Schizosaccharomyces pombe: one gene and its partners. Changing the gene in region 4 together with the main gene of any one other region gives a genetic interaction. Each region holds a gene or a part of one and is shown on either strand. Other genes may lie near its edges. The genes, in order: hse1, sst6, top1 and gad8.

Evidence for each region.
Region 1: of gad8 (region 4) and hse1, changing one suppresses a phenotype caused by changing the other (phenotypic suppression), as found in Schizosaccharomyces pombe (one study listed by BioGRID).
Region 2: of gad8 (region 4) and sst6, changing one suppresses a phenotype caused by changing the other (phenotypic suppression), as found in Schizosaccharomyces pombe (one study listed by BioGRID).
Region 3: of gad8 (region 4) and top1, a mutation in one rescues a mutant of the other (synthetic rescue), as found in Schizosaccharomyces pombe (one study listed by BioGRID).

The regions. Positions count from the first base shown.
Region 1 is NC_003423.3:1,070,112-1,077,542, forward strand, and holds hse1 (ESCRT-0 subunit protein HSE1), read left to right. Parts: upstream 1-4,267; 5' UTR 4,268-4,287; coding exon 4,288-4,415; exon of another isoform or gene 4,416-4,459; coding exon 4,460-4,535; intron 4,536-4,708; coding exon 4,709-4,928; intron 4,929-4,986; coding exon 4,987-5,684; 3' UTR 5,685-5,842; downstream 5,843-7,431. Other genes in the region: rhp18 (postreplication repair E3 ubiquitin-protein ligase), read left to right, coding at 147-1,310; TRAPP III complex subunit Trs8502, read right to left, coding at 1,460-3,316; yea4 (NST UDP-N-acetylglucosamine transporter), read left to right, coding at 6,236-7,186; ipa1 (mRNA processing protein), read right to left, coding at 7,328-7,431. UniProt on the Schizosaccharomyces pombe protein: Component of the ESCRT-0 complex which is the sorting receptor for ubiquitinated cargo proteins at the multivesicular body (MVB).
Region 2 is NC_003424.3:4,773,705-4,781,372, forward strand, and holds sst6 (ESCRT I complex subunit Vps23), read left to right. Parts: upstream 1-1,984; 5' UTR 1,985-2,133; coding exon 2,134-2,190; exon of another isoform or gene 2,191-2,229; coding exon 2,230-3,636; 3' UTR 3,637-3,734; downstream 3,735-7,668. Other genes in the region: met14 (adenylyl-sulfate kinase), read left to right, coding at 88-556, 663-802; SPOM_SPAC1782.12C (uncharacterized protein), read right to left, coding at 982-1,230, 1,287-1,363, 1,460-1,490; protein mug162, read right to left, coding at 3,735-3,794, 3,833-4,252, 4,305-4,443, 4,550-4,725; SPOM_SPAC11H11.03C (uncharacterized protein), read right to left, coding at 5,477-5,780, 5,819-5,963, 6,319-6,481, 6,537-6,545; pheromone p-factor receptor Mam2, read left to right, coding at 6,984-7,668. UniProt on the Schizosaccharomyces pombe protein: Component of the ESCRT-I complex, a regulator of vesicular trafficking process. Binds to ubiquitinated cargo proteins and is required for the sorting of endocytic ubiquitinated cargos into multivesicular bodies (MVBs).
Region 3 is NC_003423.3:2,939,460-2,948,130, reverse strand, and holds top1 (DNA topoisomerase I), read left to right. Parts: upstream 1-3,534; 5' UTR 3,535-3,550; coding exon 3,551-3,563; exon of another isoform or gene 3,564-3,616; coding exon 3,617-3,717; exon of another isoform or gene 3,718-3,763; coding exon 3,764-6,094; 3' UTR 6,095-6,397; downstream 6,398-8,671. Other genes in the region: HOPS/CORVET complex subunit, vacuolar sorting protein Vps33, read left to right, coding at 1,051-1,107, 1,153-1,831, 1,872-2,144, 2,196-2,965; SPOM_SPBC1703.13C (inorganic phosphate transporter), read left to right, coding at 7,165-8,100. UniProt on the Schizosaccharomyces pombe protein: Releases the supercoiling and torsional tension of DNA introduced during the DNA replication and transcription by transiently cleaving and rejoining one strand of the DNA duplex.
Region 4 is NC_003421.2:910,796-919,172, reverse strand, and holds gad8 (serine/threonine protein kinase (AGC family) Gad8), read right to left. Parts: upstream 6,674-8,377; 5' UTR 6,057-6,673; coding exon 6,035-6,056; intron 5,964-6,034; coding exon 4,276-5,963; 3' UTR 3,935-4,275; downstream 1-3,934. Other genes in the region: yta4 (ATPase Msp1), read left to right, coding at 1-401; rps1702 (40S ribosomal protein eS17), read right to left, coding at 847-1,242, 1,307-1,309; SAGA complex subunit Ada2, read left to right, coding at 2,478-3,791; SPOM_SPCC24B10.06 (uncharacterized protein), read right to left, coding at 7,914-8,109, 8,175-8,325. UniProt on the Schizosaccharomyces pombe protein: Involved in a signaling module for sexual development and cell growth under stressed conditions. Required for G1 arrest under nitrogen starvation and for growth at high temperature and osmolarity.

The DNA of each region.
Region 1 (7,431 bases), on a different chromosome or scaffold from region 4:
TAATGTATATGAATATACATATTCATTTACATATCGATGTGTCTAAGGTTTAAAAATTTACCGTCCGAGAGTGCTCTTACGAATCCCTAATTAAGTTTGAATATTAGTGCATATTAACTATTAATGGGTTTGCAATTTAAAATAAGATGAATGAACTAGATGCTACAGATCCATCTGATTGGAACCAAACGAAAATACCATCGTTGAAGGGCTTGGATTCTTCTTTACGATGTCTGATTTGTCATGAATACTTTCGCGCCCCCTTAATTACTTCTTGCTCACACACCTTTTGTTCGTTTTGTATACGCGATTATCTGAGAGAACATCCTATGTGCCCTGCTTGTCGTGCTCCTGAGCAAGAAAGCCGCTTAAGAAAAAACACTATATTAGAAGAGATTTTAGAGTCCTTTAAAGTGATCAGGCCAACATTGTTTGAATTCTTAAAAGTAGAAAATGTGCCAAAGCCAGTACTTCAAGCTCCTGAAACAGTTATCGCACAGGATTCAGCTTCTGGCGATGAGGAATGGGAAGACGACTTGGCTTCAAATTCATCTCCTGCTTCTATAGCTAAAAAGACATCTAGGGATTCTAAAAAGAGGAAACGTGAGGATTTAGTTCACTGCCCTGCATGTTCAAATTTAGTTCCTCATAATCAAATTAATCAACACTTGGATTCTTGTCTTAACTCACCTTCTTCCCCGTCTTCCTCTTCCTCACCTTATAAAAATAAGGATAATAGTAAATCTAATTCATTACTATCATTCAAAACAGATGATGATTCTATCACGAAGCGCAGGTTAAGGTCGTTTAACTCTGCAGATGAACTACCCTTGAAAGATCGAGTGCGGCTTCCCAAACTAACTTATGCACTCCTTTCCGAATCAAAAATTCGTTCCAAATTATCAGAGATGGGGCTTCCAACCGATGGACATAAACAACTATTACAACGTCGACATGCTAAATGGGTTACCCTTTACAATTCTAATTTAGACCAGAAACAACCTGTTTCAAAAAGAAATTTAATTCGCCAACTTATAGATTGGGAGCGCGTTCAGTCGAAATCAATTGGAGTAGAAAAAGAAAAACTAGGAGGGGGCGATTGGGAGAAGGCATACGCTGAGGATTTTGCTGATCTCATCAACCGTGCAAAACAATCAACAACTAACAAAAATGATTCATTGAGGAACACTGCTGTTGAATCTTCCACCGAACCTTCTACATCTAACGGTTTTCCTGCCACTTCAGTTAGTCCCCCTCTTACTATTGACCTTACCAATTCACAAACGGGATCCGATGGACCACAGTCCTAATCATTAATTTTCGTTGGATTCGTTTTAACGAATTTTCATTATCAGATTAACTTATTAGTTTATTTCGCTATATATAATCACATTAATAACCTGTAGAAATTTTGATATTTGGTAAATAAAATAATATACATTTTGAAAGTGGGGCATTTCTAGCTAGAAGGAATATTAGAAGCAGGTTGTTTGGAGACTTCGACTTCGTCAAGTGCTGCAACACACTCCTTCAAATCCTTCCAATCGATTTTTCCATAAAACAATTTTGCTTCCTCTACAAAAGGCTTGGCACGAAAGGGAATGCGACATCTCAACCAAGCATCGGCAGTTAATACACACCAAAGTGCGGCTTTACGAGTTCGCTTATTAGAGAACGGGTCCGTAGATTCAGTTTTTAAATAAGAAAGGGATTTAAAGAGAGTGTGAGTTTGTTGAAAGATCATTGCTCTTCCTACAGGACCCAATCTCTTAGAATAAAGCAAACCTGCATTCCAGTTAGCAGCATCGTCCACTTTTGGAGCTGGTAAACAACTAAGGAATTGTCCCAGGAGAAGGAAACAGCGCGCAGCATGATAATAGGAATTGAAGGATTTATTCAAATAATTTAACATAGCAGATTGCATATACTCGTTTATTCTCAATGTGTTCGTCAAACTCATATATGGCATTTTTAGGTGTAAAATATGTTCAGTTATTACAATCATTTCTAGAGAGGCAGCAGAATATAAGCAAGCACCATCATTTTCATACTGTCTTGATGCAATTTCATAAATCTGATTTGCATGAGAATAATCTCGTAGCATGAAGGAATAGTCGGCAAGTTTCCTAAGATATGCCTCTGGTGAAAATGGACGATAGGCATTAGATGAGGGGAAATAGTTAGAATTGGTAGAAGCATTCGAACTAGATAAATATTTTCTGGATGCAAATAACAGCTTACCGGTAATCCCTCGTCTCGGAGAAGCATATTGATCATCCCATGCTCTTACGCATTTGTCCAAATAAGAGACAATTCCGTTGAACGCAATGTGCGAAGATAACCGTCGCAGTGATTCATTGTCGGATTCAAAGAGTAATCGTATTTCAGTATCCGTATTAGATAAAAGGTGTAAACGTTCTTCAGCAGACAACCAAGAGGATGTTGGAAAAGGAACGGTATGTTCATAATCTAAGGTAGCCTTTTGTGAATGAAGGCGAAGAAAGTATCCACAATCTCCAAATGTCTGCTTCATCGTATCAAATATAGCCATTGAAAGCTCCAAATCATGTTGATCTTCATCATGAACATATACGAAAAGGTAGTTTATATCATTGAAAACGAAAGCAGGAAGGGAAAGGTAGGGAATCGAATTAATCAAAGATCTGAGAGATTCAAAAGGACTAGGATTATGCGAAGTTACTACGACAAGGTGAGCAACGGGATGAGAAAAAGTTTCAAAAGGAGTAATAGGTATCCCAGTTAGTAACTGTCGCACATAGACAGGAAGTGGCATTTGGTAATTCCCTTCATGAGCCAATGTCCAAGCCCATCGTTCAACGTTTTTATAATGAACGCCAAAGGAATAATCTGAAGGGGGTTCAGGTGAAACAAGACCTGGATATCGCTCACATAAAACCGAGCGAAGTGAAGGAAAAGATGCTTCACTTAAGTGGCTTTCTAAAGCATCAATTGGGACAAAATGTAAATTTAAATTTTCCAACGTCAGCATTTCTCCATTCATTCCTCTACGGTTTACCTTTCCACGAATACGGTCTCCAAAAGGATACAACAATTCCCAAAACCCCTTAGGATATCCCTTCCTCATGGCAAACTCGTCAGCATCTCGGGAACATAGGACCGAAACTCGCGGAGCATATGCTTCTTGGATGATGGAACACAACTCCTCCATCGAATACAGTCCTTTCGACTGCATTACCTTTTCAAGATCTTCTGTTACGGGCTCTTGAAACAATTCCCCTGATGCATTAGCACTTGCATGTTGAAAAATACCTTTGGCGGAAAGGTTGCTTTCCATATTTTGCTGAGTAAATGTCAAATTCAAGCTTTTTCAATTAAAAACTCGAAATCCGACACTTAAATGACTTTATTACAAAGCTGATGTAGTGAAGAATACATGCAATGCACCTTTATCAACAAATTTTTTAGACTAGAAGTTAACTACCTCAAGGGTATATGGAGAGGATGTACGAGATTTGACAGCAGACTAGGTCACTACATAATTAATTGAATATAAAAAGAAAAAAACGATTTCATTTAATAAAAGTCTAATTAATCAAATTATGAGTATTTTGTTCGTATATTAGAGAGCTATGTAAAAGGACTGTACCGATCATCTAGACGACAAATATCGTACATTGAATTCACCTAGTTTGAGCCTTGAATGCTAACCAATGCTAAATGAAATGTAATGCTTTTTGGTGAGCTTACATATTATTTAAAATAATGAAATAAATATAGTAACAGCAAGCTGCGACTATAATACACTAGTTTTAATAGATATATAAATGAATTCTCAAATTGATATATGAGGACAAGGGTTTAATGTTGCTTCATAGTTTTATATTCATCATCATTCGTTAGAAAATCTAAACACTTGACCGATTAGAGTATTGCAGTATTTTAAATATACAGTTTGCTTGAGCATGAAAATACAACTCGGTAGTGAAACTGTCTTTTTATTCTAAAAGGAACCCAAGCTTAACCCAAAAAGTATAAATATTACTGAATATTTAAAAATTGACTCGTATTTTTGAACCAAGAATAATAAATCGGCTACAAGTTCTTTTTTAGAAGCACCCATGAATGTTGACTATATAAACCAACCACTTTACCATGCTTTTGAATTTATCTAAATAGAAATTTATTAAATTCACCTTTAACAGAACAAGTAGCAATTTGATTGATCTAAAATTTCTCGATTTATTACAAGGTTATATATATGTCTTGGATAAGCATAGTGGTCGCCGCCATCTCTTCTTCACCAATATGTTTCGAGGAAAACCCAACTCTATTGAGACCCTTATTTTACAAGCCACTGATGAAAAGAATACTAAAGAGAAATGGGACGTTATAATGGATGCGTGCGATCAACTATCTAGCACTTCTGGAGATGTGTAAGTTAATCGTAATCAGAGTCGTTTCACTAACTGGTTGGTAGTGGTCGGAACTCGATTAAATTTTTAAATAAAAGGCTGGATACAGCGAATGCTAATATTCAATTGTTGGCTTTGACGGTATGTTTGTACCACTTTTGAGGAGGAGGAAGCAATCAATTTATGATTATTCAATCTGGAACCACTGAGAATACTATTGTCTGTGCTTTACAAATTGTTTATTGTTCCTTATATCAATACACTCTATTTTAAAATGAATTGCGCAAATTTACTTTATCTAACGTTTGTTTTAGCTTACTGATGCCATTGTGAAAAATTGTAAGACTTCCATTGTACGAGAGATCTCCTCTAGAACATTCACGGATTCTCTTTTGAAAATAGCTAGTGACTCTACAACTCATAACCGAGTGCGTAGTAGAATCGCAGTTCTTGTCAACGAATGGGCTGAAATAATGAAAAAAGATCCCAACATGAGTCTTATGCAAGATATTTGTGAAAAAATTAGAAAGCTAGGTAAGTTTCATGCACGTTTGAATGGACAAGTTAAAGATAATATGATCTAACCTCTTAGATATCGTTGATTTACGAGCTCCTAAAAAGCCAGAAAAAGAAGCGATGAATGAATTAGAACTCAAAAGAGAAGAAGAGGAGCTTCAATATGCTTTAGCATTATCACTTTCGGAATCGACCGCGCAATCGAATAAAGTGGAAAACCCCCAATCCACTAAAGATGAACCGCTGCAGAAAACGAACCAACGGCAGGAATCAAACTTAGCTACTTCTCCTGCTTCGACAGTTTCTCGCGTTCGAGCGCTTTATGATTTCGCGGCAACCGAGCAGGGCGAACTTTCATTTAAAAAGGGAGATATTATATTAGTCCTGGAAAGCGTGTATAAAGATTGGTGGAAAGGTTCTTGCAAAAATGCTGTTGGAATCTTTCCCGTCAATTATGTGCAACGAGTCGTTGAGCCTACCATTGAGCAGCAACGTCAATCTGCACATATGGAGCAGCAAGTTTTTGACGCGCTTCCTCAAATAGATGAACTACTTGATACCTTATCGACTACCTCTCCTGATGCTGCCGATGATGATGCTCTTCAAGGAAAATATCACGCGATGATTGCCCTGCGTCCAAAGCTTGTAAGATTAATTGAAAAATACGCATCTCAGAAAGAAGAACTCATGGATCTGAATGAAAGGCTTTTAGTTGCTCGCCGTGATTATGAAAAACTTTACGAACAGTCAATGTCTGAGATGAGGAATTTTTAAAGCTAATCATCAGCTTTTTGCAAGTTAATGTTTTTGCAAGCAAGTGCTTAGTTATTATGCTTTTATTTAATGGTTATAATTATTGAGATATTTTTAATAAAACAATTTTTTTTATTTTAATTTACTTTCTCAATTAAAGGTTACACGACTGTTAGTTTTAACAAAGGTGTAAACGAATCTCATCGATCCTATTTTAAAAATAAAAATATAACTAGAATAAACCTTTTTACAAAATTGCGTTCTAAAAAATATGTATGAATATAATAAATACCAAAACGCGCGAAAGCAAAGCCCGCGATTGTCTAATTGTCTTCACCTCTACACTTCCCTTAAGCCAAATTCGACCTCAATTTACATATTTGTTACATAAGAATTAACTGATTCTTTTTTACACATTCTTTTATTTTAACAGACATTATTTGTTGAAGCCTTTTGTTCATTTTGGTATACTACAATATAGCAGTCGATTCTTTTATTTTCCATAACTTTAGGATTACCAAGAAGCTGACATTGGTTCACAAATACTATAATTATCCAAAGGAAGCATTAGAATGATAGCATCTGCATTGTCTTTCATATTTGGAGGTTGCTGTTCAAACGCATATGCGCTTGAAGCACTCGTGCGAGAATTCCCAAGCAGTGGTATTCTGATTACGTTCTCGCAATTTATACTGATTACTATTGAAGGCTTGATATACTTTTTGCTAAACGACGTTCAGTCATTGAAACATCCAAAGGTGCCGCGTAAACGATGGTTTGTGGTTGTAGTAATGTTCTTTGCTATTAATGTTTTGAATAATGTGGCCTTGGGGTTTGATATTTCAGTACCAGTACATATTATTTTAAGAAGTAGTGGACCTTTAACAACAATGGCGGTTGGCAGAATCTTAGCTGGTAAAAGATACTCAAGTCTTCAAATTGGAAGTGTCTTCATACTTACTATTGGTGTCATAATAGCAACGTTGGGGAATGCGAAGGACTTACATTTGCATGTAGAATCAATGACTCGATTTGGCATTGGATTTACTATTCTGGTGATAACTCAAATACTTGGTGCCATCATGGGATTGGTATTGGAGAATACCTACAGAATATATGGCTCAGATTGGCGTGAAAGTTTATTTTACACTCATGCTCTTTCCCTTCCTTTCTTTTTGTTCCTTTTAAGGCCCATAAGAAGTCAGTGGAATGATTTATTTGCAATCCACACGAAAGGGTTTTTAAATTTACCTTCCGGAGTATGGTACTTGTGCTTCAATACGTTGGCTCAGTACTTCTGTGTACGTGGAGTAAACGCGCTAGGGGCAGAAACATCAGCTCTAACAGTCAGTGTTGTTTTGAACGTCAGAAAATTTGTGAGTTTATGTCTTAGCCTCATTCTCTTTGAAAACGAAATGGGACCTGCCGTAAAATTTGGGGCTTTGTTGGTGTTTGGATCCAGCGCAGTATATGCTTCTGCTCGGTCAAAACCAAAAACAAATGGATTGAAAAAAAATGATTAATTTACATATACATACTATGTGCATAACAACTAGATATCAAAAAAATAGACGGTTCATTTCTCTTTCAAAAAGGATACATTAAAAAGTATTTAACTTTTTGAAATAATTGCCAATTAAAAATTTAAAAGGATACATGACACATTAGATCATTTGTTTATGAAATTTCGGCAGTAAACCGACTTTCCAAGGACCAAATTTTTGAGCAGAGACCGGAAAAGAAAGATTTCCTTTTTCCAAAACATGAG
Region 2 (7,668 bases), on a different chromosome or scaffold from region 4:
AACAGTTGTAAAATATTTTTCAAATTCGTACCATTTGATTTTTCCAACAATTAATTAGAAGATTGGATTTTCACATTTTTGTTTACGATGGCTACTAACATTACATTTCACCCTGGTTCCGTCACTAAAGAAGAACGTATCAAATTTGTGGGTCATCCTGGTATGACCATTTGGATGACTGGATTATCTGCGTCTGGAAAGTCTACAATCGCTTGTGCTTTGGAACAGTATTTACTTCAGCGTGGAGTTACAACTTACCGTTTGGATGGTGATAATGTTCGTTTCGGCTTAAACAGTGATCTTGGATTTAGTGAACAAGATCGTAACGAAAACATTCGTCGCATAGGTCATGTTGCCAAGCTTTTCGCAGATGCCTGTGTAGTTGCAGTAACTTCCTTCATTTCTCCTTATCGCAAGGATCGTGATCAAGCACGCGAATTTCATAAAAAAGATGGACTTCCTTTTATTGAGGTTTATGTTGAATGTCCAGTGGAAGTTGCCGAGCAGCGTGATCCAAAGGGTTTGTACAAGCGTGCTCGTGCTGGTGAGATTAAAGGTAGGTAATTGTTACACATTAAAGATACTTTTTCCCCTCAGGAAATTCCATTTTCTCAATGTTTTTAAATAGATGACCCTATAAAATTAAGGCTAACCGGTTTTAGAATTTACAGGAATTTCTGCTCCCTATGAGGCTCCCATTTCTCCTGAAATCGTGGTTTCTTCTCATACTCAATCGATTGAAGAGTGTGTTGAAAAAATCGTCAATTACTTGTTGGAAAAGGATTTGATTACTTTGAAGTAAACACGTTAACTCATCTTAAATACTTGTATTCCCCTTATATCCTTTCTCTCTTTTTTGTTCGCTTACTTGGGACCCAATAAAATCATAACATATTCTTTATCTGCTAGTATTTTAGAAACGACATCATTAATACTTGCGTCTGTACTGGTAAAACAAAAAGCATCTAAATTAAAGCTCTCTTAAACTAGCATTGTAGCCCACCCTGTAAGCATCACTAGTCCTCCAATTGGTGTCAAGGGCCCAAGAATTCGTCGCAGACTATGTCCTTTAGGCAATAAACAAAGTCCATAAATTGTCCCAGAAAACAAGCAGCTTCCTGTAATCAGCAGGGGTCCCGTCCAACGAGATTTCCCGTAAACTGGATGCAAAGAAACGGCCATGGTTGCCAATGAATGGAACATCAAGTAAGTACAAGCAGTGGACCATGACTATAATTTTATGTTAAAATAGTTACAATCATGAAATAAAAATGCATAAATCCTACCTTCAATAAATGTGGATCCTGAACACGTTTTTGCAACCCGTGAGATCCATATGCACCTAAACCTACGCTGAGCAGTCCTTTTTTATTGTTAGATAACGTAAAATAGGTTGTTTAACAAAAAGTAAATGTATATAAAGGTTATATACCAGTCTATTACTTGTGCTAGAACCTACCTGTCAATGCAGCTACGTTCCAAATTGTCATTATTGATAAACAAATATCAGATAATTCTTTCAATAAAAATGCAAACTGCTCGGTTTATTGCCGTAATTAACCTTTCAATAGTCTTGCAATTGTAGTATTGCTGGTGTTAAAAGAGAAGTGGAATACGTATGTGAGAACAATGATCCTCAATTATAGTTGCTACCTTAGTTTATATTTATGGATACGACACATTTCCAAAATATTGAATAAGAAATCTGAGCGTATTGGTACTTTGTGAATTTTTCATAACTGCTCCTATCAGTCTATAAATTCATATCCTAATATTATATACTATCAGATCGTCAATTTCAGAAATTGAGTATGTAGCACTTAAAATAAACTTGGCGTTAATGTTAATATGGCATCAATTGAAAATAATCTTGAGTATCGTTACCTGTTTTATCGCTTGATATAACGATATATTGTAATATTATACAGTTTATTTAAAAAAGAGATGCAGCATTGACGTTATTTATTACAACGATAAAATGCGTAAAGAAAACGACCATCTGTTCAAAATCAATTTCACAAGTGGTGCTTGCAATTAATAGGTTTTCGAAAACCAGCTAACTTTATTTGATTTCTTTAAATCCTATAAGATTTAATCACGTGCTTGCATAAGTGCGCCTCGTTTCTTTTTACCATGTCAGATCATGCAATCAATGAACACCCTTCACGAATTTTGAATACAATTGAAAAGGTACCGCTTGTTTTTTTACCAATTTAACCTGAAAAATAGATTAGATTTTGGAAGAATGGACTTGCTGAAGAACTAGAATTATTGTTTAGAAAACAATGTGAAGACACGTTTACACTTCAAGCAATTAATATTGAAGTAGATACGCAAGACGAAAACAAAATAGAAGAGGTCCGCATTTATTTGAGTACTCCAGCATTTGACAAAACAATTTTAACCTCGGCTTGTATAACGGTTCGCTCTTATTATCCATCACAGCCGCCAATAGTACAATTATTGGATGAAAAAGGAGGAAAGCATAAGTACACAAGTCTTCTACTACAACTTTGGAAAAATGAACGGTCTGTTTTTAATATCTATCGTTTAGTTCAAGCTCTAATAAAGCAAGACTTTGAAAGAGAACATACTTCTCCTCCTGAACTGCCGACAAAACTCGTTAATACTATTGAAAAGCTCAAAGTGAAAGAAGAAAATGAAGCTCCTCCTGTTATCCCTGCTAAACCATTCTCATCTTCCTCTGAACAACATTTCCGAAAGGTGCCTGCGTTACCTTCCAAACTACCGCCTAAGCCTTTAAAAATTACCGCTAATAGTTCCTTAGGACAAGAAACAAATTCCAATTCTTCCTCTTTTCAAAGTACGCTTTTTTCTCTGAATACAGCACCTTTTTCAGCTACATCACAACAGCTTGTTCACGATTCTGTTTCATTGAGGCGACCAAGTTCTAACATTCCTGCCCAAAAACCTATTCCACCAAAACCTGAACAAAATGAGATAATAATTACCAAAGACACGCCTTCACTTAAAGACAAATATTCAAAGCCTGCTCTGTTACCGCAAAAACCCAAAGTTTCTAAAGGTCAGATCGTTCAACAAGTTTCAGTGTTCTCGACAGGAAAAAAAATTGAGTCCCAAAGTTTGCTCAACCTTATAGATACAGATATTGAAACCCCTTTAAAAGGTTCGTCTGAGCTACTGTATTCAGAAGACTTTAAGCCCAATGTTGACCCTGTGAAAATTCAGCAAATTCTACATAAACAGAACAAAATTATTGAAGAAAAATGGATTTCACAAATACGAATATCTAAAAACTTAGAGGTTAAGCAAAGGCTTTTGGATCAAGAAAGACACGCTTTAGAAACACTTGCTAAAAATATTGAAAACAATAGATTCATCTTAGGAAAAAGAAGGAGAAAAGCCAGAGAAGCCCTACAGAAGTTGGACAATTTAAAAGACTTATCTGTTCAAGAACTATTTATAATACCCTCCGAACGAGAACTAAAATATTATGAACTTAAACGTAAGGACGAAAAACTGGATGAAGGAATTCGAGCCCTGAATCAGGCCTTGCATCATGAATCAATCATGCCCGCATCTTGGTTAAAGGGAATAAAGCTGTTAGCTAGACAACAATTTTTAATACGGGACGAAATGCTTCAATACTCTTAAGATTATAGTGATGTGAATTTCAGTGTCGACATTTTTAGGAATATATGGACAAGATAAATATTATTCTTTTATTTATTTTTTTGTAAAAAATATCTCCATTACCAGTAATTTCGATAATCATCGTCCTCATAACTTAGGTTTTTAAAATTTTTCTTTTCCTAGAAAGGTTAGATTGGATAACATAATTTTTGCTTACAATTGCATAAATCCATATACTAGGGAAAATAATTAAACAGGAAGTTAATAAATTGAAGTAAGAAATAAGTGGTTTTGCTGTAATTAATGAACCCGTATTTAAAAGAAGTACGGATAATCCTGCAAGAAATCCTAGTACAAAATCCTTGGAGTCAATCAACTTAATCCAAATATACAAATTAATAACCCATAATGCAAATAAATGATAGGACAAATGTACTCTGCCAAGTAAAGGAAGCATGTATTCAGAAAACTTAAGAAACAGCAGAACATTAAGTATGAAGTGCAGTTTGATAGGAATTTCAATTATGCTGATTATTGTCCAATTTTTATTTTTTAAAGATAGAGATTTAATTGACCTTATATTAAAATAGCAAGCAGCGGAAAAGCTTATGAAAGCGAGTTCCATGCAACCAACTCTCTACAATCATTAATTAAGAATTCTCCAGAAAATTTAATAAATAAATACATACATCAAAAGAATACCCAAAAAATTCCATCATCAAGCCATAAAACATAAGGCTGGAAACTTGGAACACAGAATTTTGAACGGCAGAGTATTCGTTTGCCGAACCCGCTGTAAATATGCAATCTGCACAAAGAACTGTTCCCCTGATTGAAATAGTTAGAACTTCTTCATGTTAAGATTCTCATGAATCTCAATTAGTTAAAAAATACGCCGGAAGAAAGAAATTCCTTCCGACATAAAATAAGATACCTAATGTATATCCATAGAGATGGAGAAAATGACCATAAGCTAGGATTTACTAATTGTAAAGTTTTTAAGTTCCAAGTTCCTATGTAGCCTAACAATATAATAAGAATATCGAAGAAAATGACAATACGCAAATTATTCAAAGCTGTGAGTCTTTGTTTATAGACTTCATCATCCATGATTGCGGAAGCAATTTAAATATTGTCAAATTAAAATATATTCATTCGACAATTATTTTCAGCAAATAAGCTTGAAAATTGTAGCTGTATTTAATATATGTCAAGGCAAGGCAATTTTGTGGTAAATAATTCGAGCAAAGAATTGCGAGCTTACGTACAGTAGAGGTACTGACTATTTACGATTAGTACTACCCTCTCTATCAGCTTAAAGAATAATAAAAAAAAATATATATATATATAATTCAGTTGAATGTACTAGTCATTGTTTACGAAATTTTATCGAACCTAAATTTATTATTATTATTATGTGTAAACAATTTTCAAATTTATGTAACCGTTTAATGAAATTGATATAATCAGTTGTTAAAATTAATGAACAACAATAAACAAAATTTAAATAAATTAAATTATACAAAACTTTTAGTAGGCAATATAATGCTAGATTTATTATCTTTAAAATAATAATAAAAATGAATTTTTTACAAAAAGCAGAGAAAACCTATTAAAAAAATATTCCTATAAAATAATCTATTAAAAAAAGTTTCAATATTTATTTGAAATAAAAAAAAAATCCTAAGGTTGCAACAAGCAAAAAAATCTAGAGCCTAAATTACCCAATAAATACAATAATGACCGAATCGAAATAAAAGATTAATACACAGACACCTGGCTAATAATTTCACCGCCTAAAATTTTGTTGACCCAATTTGGTATCCATGGTCGCCTGTGTTAACAAGCAAAAAACAAACTGTTACATGATGGCACAACATGTTTTTAGACGAGGAAAACAATTCGTAGCAATTTCTTCAACAATTTTTTCAGGCTCAACTTGATCAGTCAAAGTTGAATGTTGAGGACGAGAATATGCTTCTTGAGGTTCTTGAATGCAATTGAAATTTGGTTGAATAGGTGAAGTCGCAGATGGTAAATAAACATAAATGCGGCCTTCATTTACTTCACTGTTGTATTTTATAGATTGCTGCTCAAGCATTCGCACAATTGCAGGTCGTAGTTTTTCCACATGATTAGCACTGTGATTACCGCGCCCAACTATACTAAAAAAGAGTTAATTTTAATTAAGCGTAAAACATACATATGTAAATGATTGTCACCACGTCGGATGCAATTCTCAATTCGCTGTTGTACTGCTTGTACAGCTTCATCGATGTACAGACCATGTAAATCAATTTCATCGGGATTGCATTGAGAGTTTTTATATAAATAAATGGCTGAAGCCGCTATCAATAATTAGCACAGTCATAAAACACTTCTATTTTGTTTTCTCGAAGCCAATATGGGTTTGAAGAAACCCAGTGTTTTAAGTTCTATAAAGAAGCCAACCCATTTTTCTCTTAAATCACATGGCTTTATTCAGCTGTTTCAGAGCTCTTCACTTTGTACAAAGAATAGTTCATTGTCATAACTACTATTGTTTGGCGTATTGTCTGACCGATAACTACCGGAATTAGATACCAAACAAAAAGAGTGGAAAAGAAAGAAAGAAAAATCTCATGATGGGTTTGTTTTTCTATTATTGAAAGTTTATAGGGTTTGAACTAACAATCACAGCTTTTAATGAGAATTTGAGATTACCTTGTCGATTATAATTTTCCATACGCTCTCCACATAACTTTCCTTCTTGGCTTAGTTCATGCGCTTTAGCCTTGTTTCCTGCTGAATAGGCATGCTGAGCTTCTTGAAATAAATACCCTCGTTTTTCAGCCTCTTTTGACGCCAACGCTCTAAACTTTTCATACTTCAATAAAGTTAGTTACACCTAATTTCTCCTTATCTCTTTGATTAATAATTACCTCCTCCATTTCTATTGTTTCAGGTGTGGTACTAGACAATGAAGTTAACAATAGGAAATCTGAACAATGGAGTACCACAAAAAATGTTATATAATTCAGCTAGATCTCTGACAAAGATGAAAAATAATTTTTAAGAACTGTCTAAACAATAGTAAATCCTTTTGTTTTTTGTTTCGAATCTGTTTAAACTACAATTTTGCAATTGTTCGAACAGCATTCCATTGGTGTGTTTTGAGTCCATATATTTGGAAATTTGCTGTATATCTTCAAGCGAAAATTTAACTTTTGAGACATAGAAGTGTTTTCTGGAAATTCTAAACAAAGAGGAATTATTGGCATAACAGTTCATTGGGAAACTGAGTCATCAAGTGCTTTACAAATCACATTTTTAAACTTCTTAAACTAAAAAAATCTCGGGTTTATATTGTTCTTGCTCCCTCTGACATTATGAGACAACCATGGTGGAAAGACTTTACTATTCCCGATGCATCCGCAATTATTCACCAAAATATTACCATTGTCTCTATTGTAGGAGAGATTGAAGTGCCAGTTTCAACAATTGATGCATATGAAAGAGATAGACTTTTAACTGGAATGACTTTGTCTGCCCAACTTGCTTTAGGAGTCCTTACCATTTTGATGGTTTGTCTATTGTCATCATCCGAAAAACGAAAACACCCAGTTTTTGTTTTTAATTCGGCAAGTATTGTTGCAATGTGTCTTCGGGCCATTTTGAATATAGTGACCATATGCAGCAATAGCTACAGTATCCTGGTTAATTACGGGTTTATCTTAAACATGGTTCATATGTATGTCCATGTGTTTAATATTTTAATTTTGTTGCTTGCACCGGTCATCATTTTTACTGCTGAGATGAGCATGATGATTCAAGTTCGTATAATTTGTGCACATGATAGAAAGACACAAAGGATAATGACTGTTATTAGTGCCTGCTTAACTGTTTTGGTTCTCGCATTTTGGATTACTAACATGTGTCAACAGATTCAGTATCTGTTATGGTTAACTCCACTTAGCAGCAAGACCATTGTTGGATACTCTTGGCCCTACTTTATTGCTAAAATACTTTTTGCTTTTAGCATTATTTTTCACAGTGGTGTTTTTTCATACAAAC
Region 3 (8,671 bases), on a different chromosome or scaffold from region 4:
AGGGTCTCTTTGCTCTTTGCGATGAATACAAAGAGTACGAATCCGCTAAGAATTATAACGAACGGTGAGAATACTCGATAAAATCAGATGTGTTTGCTGGTCATTTCCACGGTCTATCTAGCACAATGAGTGCTGCTGGATTTGCTCGATATAGACTCATCCGGCGCTTGGCGATCTATGGGTATGGATGATTTTCTGTTGCCTGAAAGCCGACTGGCTGATCGCGCTAAATTTCCTGCATGAGATTTCCAGTAATATGACTATTTACTGCTAAAATTAAGTGTGCTATAATGTTTTCGTTACTTATCTCAAGCTATACATCAAGTGGGAGGTATAAGCTCTTCTGTTATATATACGTTACCATTAAAAACAGTGTTTTGGCCAGCTTTCACCAAGCGCAAAAAACATACATGTTAACGAAACAATTCAATTGTTTTTTTTTTAAACTCTATGGTTCATGAACAAATCTTGCAATCATTGATAACCTTACTGATGCTACAGAAAAACTAAATCTCGGCGAAACAATTTTTTACATTATTCAAATGACATCGTAGTAATCGTTAATTCCTTCAATAATTAAACAAGATAACTCAACACACACTATAGTTACGGAATAATAAATAGATTTTGCTAACTTAGGTGCTGTAACATTACTTTCAGTTTGCCTTGTCAACAAGTTTAAATAGCAAATTAAAAGAAACTAGTTTGTTTGAAACTATAAAACCTTTTAGCTTAAAAACGAAATGAAAAATTTTCCTAATTTTATCAATAAAGTAGTTTTTATTTTATTAAGTATTGTTAGTGAAATACAATTGCGATGCATGTCAAGAAGCTCTTAATTCACTATACATGTTTTAAAGTCGCAATACCTTTTAAAGTTAACAATAACTGTTGGAAAAATCATTCCGTTCTTTTCTATTTTATTTACGTTGTGTAATATTAACATCTAAGGGTTTTGCTTTGTGAAATCAAGTGTCATTCTAGTGTTTCCCTCTACCTCCATTTAACTGCAGACGTCCTAAAGAGTTGGTGGACTCAATTCATGGCTTGATGACTACAGACGTTAAAGAAAAAGCTACATTTAAGTTGTTAGATTTAATAGACAGTGTATGTGGATTTGAAAAGTGACATGCTAATGATAATGTGTTAAAGGTTACTGGGAAAAAAAGTTTGCTCTTGGAACGTGATCTGTCAGGAATTTTAGGTCAAATAGTTACTACCAATACTTTACAAGAACATGGAATACCTCAGGTTTATTGGTTTAATGAAAATATTCCAAATGATATTGAGAAAAAGACAATCTACTTGTGCAGACCAACTTATGAAAATGCCAAACTAGTTGCTACTCATGTTCGTCAATTTCAAAGGGATATGTTACGCATTGAGAGCACAGTAATTGTTTTGCCTACCTCAAATATCCTCTTTGAGACGGTACTGCAAGAGGAGGGTGTGTTTGGAGAATTACTTGTGACTGAATGGCCGTTACATGCCGTACCCTTGGACAAGGACCTTTTGTCATTAGAACTTGGTCCAGAGAAATTGGAAGAAAGCTTACTTCAACGAAGTACAGATGCTTTAATTGATTTTGAACGCACTCATGGACGGTTTCCTCGAGTCTCTGGGAGGGGCCCCTATGCTGCAAAAATGTTGGAATTATTAGAAAAAACATACCAGGAAGAAGCAACAATAAACTTTGGGAAGGTGGAAGGAGAGATTTCTGCTCTCTACGATAGCGTTCTTTTAGTTGATCGATCATTAGATCGTATTACACCGTTTTTGACTCAACTTACCTACTTTGGATTTTTGGACGAAATACTTGGAATTCAGCAAAGTATGATTCATATTTGTTTATTATTTATCTAACTGATTAGTGAATGTCAAACTTCCTTCATCCTTGGTTAACCGAAATGAAGCTTCAAATACTGGACCGATGAAAAAGTTTTCTTTAAGTTCTTCTTCCAGCCAAATTACCAAGGAAATTAGAGACATAAATTTTAATTGCATAGGCCCTTATTTAAGCAAAATTGCTCGAAAACTATCCAGCGATTTTGAAGGTCGACGTCAAGCCAAAACTGTAAATCAGATTAGAGACTTCGTTTCCAAACTGGGTTCCTTACAATCGGAGCATACATCATTAAATATTCGTAAGTATTTTTTTCTTTTGATTTCCATAAAAAATTTTATTAATTAGATAGACACTGGTCTCGCTGAAACTTTGGTGCAACACACAAAAAATAATTACTTTCAAAAGCTACTACAACTTCAGCATTTGCTAGTTTCTCATGCCGATTCTTTTACTCAATTCAATTTATTAGATGAAATTATCTATGCCGAAGCACCTGTTGAAGAGGTTTTTCGAGTACTTTGCCTTGCAAGTATAACTACCAATGGTTTGAGAAGAAAAGATATAGATCATTACCGTAGGGAAATCACTCAAACATATGGTTATTATCACCTTTTAACATTCCAAGCCTTGATAGATGCAGGACTATTGCGCCTCCGGCAATCCACTAATATTTCACTTCAAAAATCATTGTCTTATTCTACATGGTTAAACACTTATCCTTTGGTTAAGGACGAAGTTGATGAGCAGAATCCTGAAGATATAGCCTATACGTACAGCGGGTACGGTCCTTTGTCAGTCCACATAGCATATGACATTTTAAAAGGCAGAGACAATGAAGAAAAAATTCTTAAGTTGCAAAATATGCCTGGAACTTACGTTGACAAGTGGACATTAGACCAGGAAAAGGTCATGCCTAAAAATTTGAAGACAAACGTACCAGGTAAACGTCGTGTTTTAGTTTTTTTCATCGGTGGTTGCACGTACACAGAGCTGGCTGCATTTCGTTTATTGCAAGAAAAAGAAGATTTATATGAATTCACATTTATGACTACGGGAATGGTAACTGGAAGCTCTCTAATAAGAGCTTTTATTCCAAATATTGAATCTTTGAATGAGTGATGATCACCCAGTTTCATTAATTTGTTCAACAGCTAAAGACGATATTTAATCTCATTTTTTTTCACTAAGAGAATCCCATAATTTTAATTATTGTTTTTTTTATTAACCCACTTTATTAAGTCCTTAGTAGTTTATGAATTTGAAGTGGCATTAAAGCTTTCCCTATATGCTGTTAAGCTATTTGCTATTTACTGCCAAAATATTAGCTTACATATTAAATAATAAACCTCCAATATTTGGCAGCTAATGGCTTATTGTATCAATCAAATCACCTTTTTTTTGTTTTGGATATTCAGTGGCTTTTGGTATTGTTTACAATAAATGTAAAGTTAAAGCTTTCAAAATTATTAGAGATTACTTTTCTCGTACTGTTAATGGGTTTATTTTGAAATATGCACATTTATAGCTTTTTGCTGCAAGCTTCGTAACATTAAATTTTATTTTATTTGAAAATTCCAGTTTCTCATTTAGCTACTAATTTTTACAAACATTAATTGTCAATATTTGGTTGTCATGACAACGAGTGTACGTACTCAATATTAATCCTTCTTTTACTGTATTATAGATGTATGCAAACAATTCACAATGTCTTCGTCTGGTAAGGTTTCACGTAATTTAACAACATTTGCAAAATTTTTAACAACTGAAAAGATTCAGATTCCGTGTCTTTATCCATTAGAAGGAGGCAAAGACGCGGTTCATCTAAACGGATTAGTATGAAGGAGTCGGACGAAGAGAGTGATAGTTCTGAAGTATGTTCACAACATAATAATTAAAGATTGTTGACTAATTGTTTAGAATCATCCTCTTAGTGAATCGTTGAATAAGAAATCCAAATCCGAGAGTGATGAGGATGATATACCGATTAGAAAGAGACGTGCTTCTTCAAAGAAAAATATGTCCAATTCAAGCTCTAAAAAAAGAGCTAAAGTAATGGGAAATGGTGGTTTAAAAAACGGAAAAAAAACGGCGGTTGTAAAAGAGGAAGAGGATTTCAATGAAATTGCAAAGCCCTCACCGAAGCATAAACGTGTTTCTAAAGCGAATGGAAGTAAAAATGGCGCGAAGTCAGCTGTTAAAAAAGAGGAAAGTGACACAGATGATTCAGTTCCATTGAGAGCTGTTTCGACTGTATCTTTAACTCCTTACAAATCAGAACTGCCTTCGGGAGCTTCGACCACGCAAAATCGCTCACCAAACGATGAGGAAGATGAAGATGAGGATTACAAGTGGTGGACTTCAGAAAATATCGATGATACTCAAAAATGGACTACATTGGAGCATAATGGTGTAATTTTTGCTCCACCCTATGAACCTTTACCAAAGAACGTCAAGCTAATTTACGATGGAAACCCCGTAAATCTTCCTCCCGAAGCAGAAGAAGTTGCTGGTTTTTATGCTGCAATGCTTGAAACCGATCATGCCAAAAATCCTGTATTCCAAGATAATTTTTTCCGTGACTTCTTAAAGGTCTGTGATGAATGTAACTTTAATCACAACATTAAAGAGTTTTCTAAATGTGATTTTACCCAAATGTTTCACCATTTTGAGCAAAAGAGGGAAGAGAAGAAGAGTATGCCGAAGGAACAGAAGAAGGCAATAAAGCAGAAAAAAGATGAGGAAGAGGAAAAATATAAATGGTGCATACTTGATGGGAGAAAGGAGAAGGTTGGTAACTTTCGTATTGAACCTCCAGGGTTATTTCGTGGTCGAGGTAGTCATCCTAAAACTGGTTCTTTAAAGCGTCGAGTATATCCTGAACAAATTACCATTAATATTGGTGAAGGTGTACCCGTTCCAGAACCACTCCCTGGGCATCAATGGGCGGAGGTAAAGCATGATAATACAGTGACCTGGTTGGCAACCTGGCATGAAAATATAAATAATAATGTCAAATATGTCTTTTTAGCTGCAGGAAGTTCTCTAAAAGGACAGAGTGACTTAAAAAAATACGAAAAGTCAAGAAAGCTTAAGGATTATATTGATGATATCCGTAAAGGCTACCGGAAAGATTTGAAAAGTGAGTTAACGGTTGAGCGTCAAAGAGGAACTGCCATGTATTTAATTGATGTTTTTGCTTTAAGAGCAGGAAATGAAAAGGGTGAAGACGAGGCGGATACTGTTGGTTGTTGTTCACTGCGATATGAACATGTTACACTGAAGCCACCACGAACAGTCGTTTTCGATTTTCTTGGTAAAGATTCTATTCGTTACTACAACGAGGTTGAAGTTGATCCCCAAGTTTTTAAAAATCTAAAGATCTTTAAACGTCCTCCCAAAAAAGAGGGTGATTTAATTTTCGACCGTCTCAGTACAAACAGTCTTAACAAATATCTGACTAGCCTTATGGATGGACTTTCAGCTAAAGTATTTCGTACCTACAATGCTTCATACACCATGGCCGAGGAACTTAAGAAAATGCCTAAGAACCTCACCCTTGCAGACAAAATACTATTTTATAATAGGGCAAATAGGACTGTTGCAATTTTATGTAATCATCAACGTTCCGTAACCAAAAATCACGATGTTCAAATGGAACGGTTTGCCGAAAGGATTAAGGCATTACAATACCAGCGGATGAGACTGCGAAAAATGATGCTGAATTTAGAGCCCAAGCTTGCTAAAAGCAAGCCCGAATTGCTGGCTAAAGAAGAAGGCATTACCGATTCATGGATCGTAAAACATCACGAGACACTTTACGAACTAGAAAAAGAGAAAATAAAAAAGAAATTCGATCGTGAGAACGAAAAATTAGCTGCTGAGGATCCCAAATCAGTGCTTCCGGAATCTGAATTGGAAGTTCGATTGAAAGCGGCTGATGAGTTGAAGAAAGCGCTGGACGCTGAACTTAAAAGCAAAAAAGTCGATCCAGGTCGTTCTTCGATGGAACAACTTGAGAAAAGATTAAACAAACTCAATGAACGAATTAATGTTATGCGTACTCAGATGATCGATAAAGACGAGAATAAAACTACTGCTTTGGGTACAAGTAAGATTAACTACATAGACCCGAGGCTTACTTATTCGTTCAGCAAGCGAGAAGACGTTCCTATTGAGAAGCTGTTTAGTAAGACGATTCGTGACAAGTTCAATTGGGCTGCTGATACACCTCCGGATTGGAAGTGGTAAGTCCTCTACGATTTAAGAAAAGTATCTTTCATTGAACTTTTTAAAAAAAAATTATTTATTATCATCCTACGGCAGACAAATTGTGAAAGTGCTTCGTAATTTCGTGACTTAATGATGTCTTGAAATGAATGCTAGCGTACAACAACTTAGTGTGCTGAAAGAAGGAATTAATTACTTCTAGTTTAGTGTTTAATAAAAATTCATACAAAAAATGCAAAGCTAAGGAAGTTTTTTCAGCAAAAATATAGACAGAATAAAATTTAGCACAAAACAAATTGAACGTGACATTTCATACTATCCCCATTGCATTTGGCTTTTTTTTTCATAATTACTGTTTACTCTTGAGGTCTTTTTCTTTAATATTGGTGAAATGCCTGTTACGATCATCAAATTCAATATACAAGCAAACTTACTCTTGTAAACAATTTTTTTTTTGTTTTTTTTTTTTTACAAATAGAAAAGGAAAGAAAAGCCAAGCTGCTGCTTTTTTAATCTTTATACCAATTACTCTTCTTTGGTTGTACTAAATAGTTTTTCAAGCACTTCTATACCATCCAAATTACTTTTTTCTCTAGCGTTTACATTTGACTGCCTTTTTCGCATCTTTAAACCCGGTTTCCACTTTTTCGTTCTCTTTGTCAGATTGGCACAAGTTCCGGTATAGCAGAAATATCAGTGGAAGAGATTTTGTCTCACTATTTGCTGGAGCAATCCAATGCAACCACGAGCGGATACAATCGGGTTGGTAAAGATTAAATTACGTAAAACAAAGTATGAACACACTAGCATTTGGATCCTACCTTCTACGAGTACCTACATTTACTCAACCGGATTCCTAAATATTCATTTTTAGCAGTTTCTCAATAGGAGATAGCCTTAGTTGGAGATTTCTTTTTCTTTTATTTTTTAGAACTGTTTATAACGCAAACTCGAAGGTTTGTTCTTTGAACTCACGATAAGTTTTTTTTCTTGTGATTGTAAAGGCTTGTAGTCATCAAGGATCTTGAAACATAACAGTTGATATATTTTTCATTTTTTTTGTTTTAAAATACCCACTTTATTAGTTCATCATGTCTACCCCCTTGATACCTCCTGCTCCTCCTAAAAAGACCCTTCAGCTTTACACTCCCCAATACTACGGACTTTGTACATTGGGTGGTTTGTTGGCTTGTGGTACTACGCACAGTGCCATTACCCCTTTGGATTTAATCAAATGTCGCAAACAAGTCAATCCAAATATCTACCCTGGTAATATTGCTGGTTTCAAGACTATCCTCAGCAAGGAGGGACTTCGCGGTCTGTATACCGGTGGTATGCCCACCTTGATTGGTTATTCTCTTCAAGGCTGCGGTAAGTACGGTTTTTATGAGTTGTTCAAACACAAATACTCTACTTTGGTTGGTGCTCAAAAGGCACATGAATACCGTACAAGCATTTACTTGGCTGCTTCTGCCTCTGCTGAATTGTTGGCTGATATAATGCTTTGCCCTATGGAGGCTATCAAGGTCCGTGTTCAAACTTCCAACCCTCGTTTTGCCAACACCACTCGTGAAGCGTGGTCTAAAATTGTCACTAATGAAGGTTTCGGTACTTTATACCGTGGTCTGGCTCCTTTGTGGTTCCGCCAAATCCCTTACACCATGATGAAATTTGCTTCTTTTGAGCGCATTGTCGAAGCTTTGTACACCTACATTGGCAAGCCCAAGAACATGTATTCAAAGGCCGAAAAGATTGGTATTTCTTTTGCTGGTGGTTACATGGCCGGTGTTCTTTGCGCCATTATCAGTCATCCTGCTGATGTTATGGTTTCCAAGTTGAATTCCAACAAAAAGGCTGGTGAGGGCGCTGGCGCTGCTGCTGCTCGTATCTACAAGGAGATTGGATTTTCTGGTCTTTGGAATGGTCTTGGTGTTCGTATAGTCATGATTGGTACTTTGACTGGTGCTCAATGGCTCATCTACGATTCATTCAAGATTATGTGTGGTTTCCCTGCCACTGGTGCTTAAATGCACTATCGTATAGTAAACCTTTCATTTTATGGAACGTCGCTTTTTAAATTTCCCCCCACTTTCTCTTATAGGCTCTTAACAAGTTTTACTGTTTTATCAGTGTTTAAATTTATATGTAAATTTTGAACGTGTAGTTCCTTTTTCTGTAACTCTTAAGTGTTTTCAGGAGTATATATCAGCTTATGGAAGATGTGATTAGTATTTTAGCGTTTTCAACTAATGAAGTGAGTCATAAAAATTTGGGCTGTTGTGGGAATCGAACCCACGACCACCATCACCCTAAGATGGTATCATACCACTAGACCAAACGGCCAATTTGCATGTAAAGAGTAAGAGGAAATTATATTACAGATGATTTAGCAAGAAGTGTTTACAATATTAGATATGCAATAAGAGATTCAATTCATACAAATATTAATTGACTTCTTAATCCTGGTTCCATTAACTATTTAAATCGCAATTGACTAAATTGCGATTATACAGTTGACATAATATAATTTGTTCGACAACTCATGTGTAGTACTGTGTTAACTATTCGATGTTAAACCTTCATTGGCTTCTGTAGTGT
Region 4 (8,377 bases):
TGAGTGGTCAGTCACGGGTTCTTGTTTTGGGTGCTACTAATCGACCAGCTGACATCGACGAGGCCATTCGGCGTCGTATGCCTAAAGTATTCTCCATACCTCTTCCAAATGCCGAACAGCGTCGCAAGATTTTAGAACTTTATTTAAAAAAGGTACCGTTAGAAGCGAACTTTGATTGGAATGGAGTTGTTAATGCCACTGCTGGACTGTCTGGCTCATATATCAAGGAAGTCTGTAGATCTGCTTTATCAGTTCCACGCAGAGAGCTTTTTGACAAGCATGGAAATGATTTGGAAGCAATCAAATATGACATACAATCAGGCGGTTTGAGGTCTTTGAAGACGGAAGACTTTTATCATTATGAATCCTTACAAAATGTTTCCGGTATAGACGTCGAGTGAATTTATTAGAAAAAGTATTTATTGAATTTACGTCTCAGGGTTTATCATAATTTGAATTGTTTTATTATTCTACCGTTTAGTTTCCTTTTCTCTTAATATGTCAAGTCAACATATTGAGCGTTTGTACAACAGCCAATTTTAATTATTTTATTAAACGACTTCTGCCCATTGCACTTTCATCTTCAGTAGGTATCATATTCACAACGAACGGTCTTAGTAAATTTGTAAGATTGTAAAAACAAAAATGAAAAAATTGAAATCGTCTAAACTAAATGTACAATAAATTTAACTACCGAGCTTCTAGAGGAGCGATTTTACGTACCTACTTTACTGTCTACAAATCGAAATGAATACAAATACAACAATATGGTACAAAATGCATCACAAAAATAAATAACCGTGACAGTTCAAAAGAACATACATCTTATTTTTTTTAAAATGTTATTTAGTGTCTGTAACGGAAGGGACGCTCAGGGCGAGAGGCAGCGACAACGACAGTAGGGATAGAGTCGTAGCCAAGAGCTTTAAGCATATCCTTGGTGTCTTGATCAACGTTAATCTTGTCCTTCTCGAGCTCAGAGACTTCAGGAACGTATTGATCCTTGCGCTCACGCTCTTCTTCTTGAAGCTTGAAGGAAATACCACGGACAGGACCGCGTTGGATACGTTTCATAAGATGAGTCGTGTATCCAGCAATCTTGTTGCGGAGACGCTTGGAAGCAATGATAGCAACCTCATCGACAATCCTCTTATTGGTTTGGAAGTCCAATGTAAGACGAGGGTAGTATTTCTCGATAACTACGCGAGAAGCTCTCTTCGTAGTTTTGGTGCGTACACGACCCTATGTTTTGTCAGTAATTTCTATCCTCAAACCGGTTTCTTAACTATTCTATTGAAAGCCTTACCATTTCTGTTCCTGTGATGAGTTTACTACACTGAATTCTTGAGTTTGTACTGTGTGACTGCTTTCAAGTCCAAATTAGTTTATCGAATAAAGATATTCTTGTTTATTACAAAATACTAATTTAAGTAAAACAAAGTATCGTAGCGCGATATAATAATTATTAAGAATACTAAAGCATTATGTAAAATAGTTTAAGATCCAATTACCACAAACACTATAGAGTTGTGTTAATCTAATTAACGATAAAAAGTCCAGAAAACTTTACGTTTCACTATGTTTGATACGCTAACTAAACATAGCATATTTATGGTTTATTCTCTTATTCATCAAGTCGTGATTGCAGAGAAGTTCTCTGTTAAGATCTATTTTACTGATTTTTGTAATTGATATAAACATAAAGCAATTGACAACAAAGCCATATTCATTAGCATTGAACTCCGTTAATGTTAAATCAATGACTTTTAGCCGTGAAAATGTTCGTAGAAATTTACTATAGTTTTCTCTGCTAATATATTGTGATAAAACGCTTTTAATAAAACTGTTCCAAAAGGCAACATGGTATTTGAAATTATAATATCATAGCTATATAAATAGAGAAAAACCTTGGACCTGTTAGTCGCATAGCACAAGACAGTGCAGGTGCTCTTCAAAATGAGAAAGGGAAATAAACATTCGCTTCGGCAGTAAGAAAAGACCTTCAATCCAGTAAATGTCAACTTTGTGATATTTTTACAGAATCGATTCGTTTGATAAGCCGGAATTGCTTTTTTCTTGTTTTTTTAATACTCTGAGTTAGTTCTTTCTGATTCTACCTTATCGACAGACAGAAGCCGTCTTCCGGTTAAAGAAACCATATATAACGCAACAGATTTTTTTATTAAACAAAAATAACTATTCAGTGAATGAATTTTAACTTATTTTCTGATTGCAATCACGTTTCGATCGTATTTAGTAATTGCTGGTGGTGATATTGAAAAGTCAAAAACTTCAACTTCAGCCACCATTATTAATAAATCGTATTCAAAAGAGTTTTCTAAGTTTAATGATCTAATTTTCATATTTGAAATCCAACTTTTACTTCTCATTTTACTCAAGCTTCTTTGATATTCTACGCATCGGATCATCACTTTGCTCCACCATATAGGGACGAAAAATTTTGCACATGAAGCAGGATGCCTCCTCAAAAGTATCATTGCAACGTCTGCGCCCAAGATATAACAAGATCCATTCATATTCGGTGCGTAGAATGTGTTGACTTCGATTTGTGCATCCCCTGCTTTACATCTGGTGCCTCCCTAGGAACTCACCATCCGTCTCATCCGTATAGGATTATTGAAACCAATTCATACCCTATTTTCGACGAAAATTGGGGTGCTGATGAGGAACTCTTACTAATCGATGCTTGTGAAACACTGGGCCTTGGAAACTGGGCTGACATTGCAGACTATGTGGGAAATGCTCGGACGAAAGAAGAATGTCGGGATCATTATCTGAAAACCTATATTGAGTCGGATTGCTATCCATTAGCAAGCGTAGAGCTCCCTGGACCGGTGGATCGCATAGCATTTGCGGCACGGAAACGAGCTCGTATTGAAGCTTTTCAGCCTCCACCGATTATTCCTCAAAAGCCTCTAGCATCTACACCCCAATGCCACGAAATCCAAGGCTATATGCCGGGCCGTCTTGAATTTGATCAAGAGTACATGAACGAAGCTGAACTGCCCATAAAGGATATGAATTTTGATGACGATTTACACGAGTCAGCAAAGCATGAAATGCAACTTAAGCTGACTATGCTTAACATATATAATTCCCGTCTTACTCGTCGGGCTGTTCGTAAACAAACCATTTTCAATCACAACCTTTTAGATTATCGACGGCTACAGGCGAATGAGAAGCGCATGTCAAAAGAGGAACGAAACTTACTTAATAAAACAAAAGCATTTGCTCGACTTTTGACGGGCCCTGATTACCAAAAGTTCGTGAACAGCTATCACGAGCAAATAACCCTAAAAAAACAAATTTCTGATTTACAGGAATGGCGACAGATGGGTCTTACTACACTCGAACAAGGACATAAATATGAACGCGATAAAACGCAAAAATTCCTCTTAAGTAAAGCTTCTGCTTCATATGATAAGCAATTGAGGCATGTTAAGTCGTTTAACCAAACCACTTCCGCTCCTTTTCAAGTTCGTGACATTCAAAAGATTGTTCCTCGAAAACCAGCGACTCCCACAATGTTTTCTGCTTCCGCTGATCGGCAACTGCTTTCAGAGGATGAGCAAGCGCTTTGCTCAAAACTGCAGATTTTCCCTAAACCATTTTTGGCTCTAAAATTTGCCTTAATATCGGCTTCACTGACTTCCAAAAAACCATTTCAAAAAACCGATGCAGTTAATTTATTTAAACACTTAGACGCTAATAAAGTCGAACAGGTGTACGACTTCTTCCATAATGCTCGGTGGATTGGCGCTCCAACCTAAAAGTACTGGTTTCTTTTACCTTTTTCATATTACTCTTGTTTATTACCTTTACGTTTTGAAATGTAATTTTACTAATTACCCCTTCACCTTTAATTACATCTCCGTCTTTTTTTCCCTTTTCAATAGCCGTTACGTTCTTATGCTTAATAATTAAAAAGAGTTTTCCATCAATTTTCTACACTAGTAATTTCGGAAACTACAAGAACAAAAAACACTACATCCAACAATATCTGAGACTTTTTCTCAGCTGACAAAAAATAAATAATCTTCAAAGACTTGAGGTTGTCAGTAATAATAATAATAATAATGATAATAATAATAGTAATAGAAAATGATCTTGTACGACAAAAAAAGATGACAATAATGAGAAATGAACGAAGCTTTGGCCTTTATAACATACAAATATGTAAAAGAGGCAAGAAAAGCGGCATGTATGAGTAAAAATGAGAAAACTTTCAAAATAAACAAAGAAGTGTCAAATTCATCACCTAATGACACTTCCAGGTGCTATTGTATTAATGTCGTCGGATGTATCAATGGTTGTTGGTCGTTGATAGCTCCAATTGGCAAACCTTTGTTGAACGGTTTCAGATAAGTGAGAATCGGCAACAACACTATCCATTGGGATTTCCGATGTAAATTCAGAATCAAAATTACTAGTATCGATAGCTGATTCAACGCTTGGTTTAAAGGGTGGCTGTATCTTCTTGGCGCATAACTTTTTCCAGTCGATATCATCAAAGAAAGGGTGATTTTTTATTTCTTGCGCCCCTCCACTACCCAGCCGCTTCTCTGGAGCGCGGGTCAACAATCCACTCAATAAATCTTTTGCTTTCTCGTCAATGTTGTCTGGGAATCGCAAGGGATCTTGAAGAATTTTTCGGTACATTTCGTTTATATTTTCATCATAAAAAGGAGGAAGTCCTGTAATCATTTCGTAAAGTAGCACACCTAAAGTCCACCAGTCAACAACTTTTGTATAACCATGACCCAAAAGCAATTCAGGAGCGAGGTATTCAGGGGTGCCACAAAAAGTATTCGTTCTATCGGTTTTAGCCATGTTTAGCTTACAAAGTCCAAAATCACACAAAGCAATATGACCGGTGTAGTCTAATAATATGTTTTCCGGTTTTAAGTCTCGATAAATAACGTTGAACTCATGCAAACATTCCAAAGCAACAAGTAGTTCAGCAATGTAAAATTTGGCACGATATGTATCAAAACAGCCTTCTCTTTGTAAGTGATGAAATAACTCACCACCGTTAACAAAGGCCAGGACAAGATACAGCTTACCGGGAGATTGAAAGGAGAACTTTAATGGAACAATAAAAGGGTTATTAACTTGAGCAAGTACTGTCCTCTCAGCCAATGTGTGATCTACTTCACTGCGAGATACAATGTGGGCTTTTTTCATAGTTTTTAAAGCATAGATACGAGAAGTGTCACGCTTACGCACTTGCATGACTTTTCCAAAAGAGCCTTTGCCAACCACTTTCAATAGTTCAAATGCATCAATGGTTAAAGGGGTACTTTGATTGGGTTTGTAAAGCATTTGAACACGAAGTTCACCGCTACCCCCATGCAGGGGTACCCATTCGTCTGTAAGCTTGTTTACAATGAAAGAAGGCGACAGTTTAATCCCGCCTAGGAAAGCGTCATTCCCCATACCGTTGCGCGAGCGGCTGGATGAAGAACGAAGGTAAATATTCAGGGAGAGTTTGGAATAACGGGAAACGTCAAAAGTTGCCTGATAATCCCAGCAAGGATTTTCAAGGCTTGCAGTATTTAGAGCATCTACTAAGATTTCATTTTTGTCGAATTCAACGACGATATAAGGTAACCACCAAGCATGACTACGAGACCTTGCGTGTCCCGAGCCATTACTAAGTGGAGGGGCAAGTAAAGAATTGTCAATGGAAACCCCGTAGTTGGCAGGAACATGTCCCGACGGTAATTTTAAATTTCTAGCTTCTATAATTGTGACCTGCAATAAACCAGGCTGCACGACGGTACTTTGGGGAGACCGTTTATCCTCCGAGCTTTTCCGAGATTTTTCATCACTTGATTTACGAGAAGAAGTAGAGGATAAAGTACTGTTTTTCAGACCTCTAGTAAAACTAGAGCCGCCAGAGTTCAGGCCAATAGCGGATGCTAGATGAGTTTCTTTTAATTCTAAAAAGCGAAAAGCTGTTAGTATGAAAAAGAAAGACAGAGTGTGATAACCCGTATTATGGAATACATACTCTTTGTAAGTTTCCAGGACATTTCGGTAACGTCTGTTTGGAGTAGAAAAAAAAAATGAACTGATTTTTAAAAGCTCGCTTTCCCTCTATCTTTTCTTTTAATATAACGAAAATGATAAAGAATAAGGTAACGAGGCTGCAAAAAAGCTTCAATCTAACAAAAAACGTATTTATGGACTAATTCGAAGACAAAAACGGGAAGTGTACCAGTAAGCGAATACGAACGAACAATCAAATCAAATCCAAAAAAAAAATAAAATAAAAAGTAAGCACAAGTTGCAATTTTTTTTGAATAAACGAAAGGGGATACAGGCGTTTGGTAATGTCAGTATAGTAGTAAATTCGTCAAAGAAATCTAATCCCGATAAGTAGTAAGCAAGGGTGTTGATTTTAAAATTCAAAATAAATCGCAATCTCTTTTATTCCAAAATCCCTACTAAAGGAATGCTTCGTTGATAAAGTCGATTTCTAAGCCGATTTTGGTATTACGACTTTGAGCAAAGTCGCCTTCACCTCGCGGAAATTTTGACGAAATTGAAACCAATCGACAGCACTAAATACGTTAAAGTCAATGAAATAAAATTTGATGTCAAAAATGCTTTCGTTTGATATTCCCTTTGTTAGGTCGTATTGGCAGTCAGTAGATGTGGCCAGCTCGGATCATCCGTATTCCTAAAATACAAGTGGTACAAGACAGCAGCTTTTTGCGGCAGAACAACGTGAGTTCGATAAAATATTATAAGGAGAGCTACCGATACGGTCGGCACATTACGCAGGTTTGTCGTATAATGATCAAAAATTATAGACCCTTTTCTCGTACGATTGCACTATATATAAAAGTTCTTTGCAATGGTGTTTTACATATCAGCTATTAAATTAGTTAACTTAGTAATGTCAAAAAGATGGAATATTAATATAGAGAAATTAAAAGTGCTGGTGTACTCTTGTAAGTGGTAACTTGCTCAAGTTTGTAGTGACCTAAATTGAAACATAGGATTTATACTACACGTGTCAAGAAACAGCACTCAAATGGATCAATTTACAAAACGAAGTATATAGCAAAACAATACAAATAATTATCTTGACAATTATCTGCGGACAAACGCAAAATGCCGTTTACGCGTATGTGTAGCTTAGCAGACCAATTAACTTTATTTGTTTTAAAATAATTATAGAAGCATGTAAATACCACCGTTAGGATTGCAATATCCTCTTTACAAAACAAGTCATTTATTTATGCCTTCCATCAGATTTTTGCAACTTCCAAGTACGATGCGTTTTGTAAAATTTCAGTTCCTTGTGCAACAAGCGAAAAAAAAAGATAAAGCAATTTAACGGAAAAGCAATTTGTATACCAATGCTCTACTTTTAATACACTGGACGCTTCGTACAAGTCCTTCAAAGTGTATATAAATCCAAAGAGAACTGAAAAACAAAAAACATTTTCAAATAAAATAAAATAAAATAACATATAAAACAGAAATAAAACATGAACAATGAATTTATGAAAAGAACGAAATTTGTTGAAACTGATGACTCACTCAACTGTAGGCAAACCCTTACTTACCCATGAGAAAAGCAAATTCTTTTCGTAGTTACTTCTAGAAGGCTCCTCACTAGTAAAAGCGATGTTTCTTCAGAGTTTTGAATTTTCTCACAGAGAGCTCCCTTTGTGTGTTTTATTTAAAGGGATGAGACGAGTTTGCCAAAGCGCCTAAAAAAAGAAACCGGTTATCGAGCGCAGATATAGAATTGACAGTGTAAGTAGCAACAAAAATTTTAAAAGAGTAAAGTAGAATCAAAAACTATATCTAAGTTTAGAAAATCCCTAAAGAGAAATTTTCAGGTGAATGTTAGGGGGTAGGTTCCGGTTGAATTTTTAAAGGACTAAAGCGGCAAAAGCAGCAATGCTCAAGAGTGAAACAATCAATAATGAACTCTTGGAAAACCGGACAGGGGACCCACTCTCCATCAATTCGCGCCCTGTATTGGGAATGGATGCTGCGTATCCAATGGATCCGGCAGGTGCAGAAGTGTAAGTAGTAGATGGTTGATATTCGGTGTAACTATAAGGACTAAAAATAATATTAGTAATTTTACACAAACAAATAGTTTCCATAAAATGACAAGCATGACTTACAAAATGGTTTCTACACCATCCGACCAAGATTTGTCGGTGACAATCACAACATCGCTCACAGTAGTAGAGTAACTTGCCTGAGTTGAACTAGAATCATCATCCCTCTTAACAAATGGGGTCAAAGGAATTTTTGAGGGCAAAACACGATTAGCTAAATATACTGAGTTAGCTATTTCACATAGTCACAAAATATAAAGACAGAG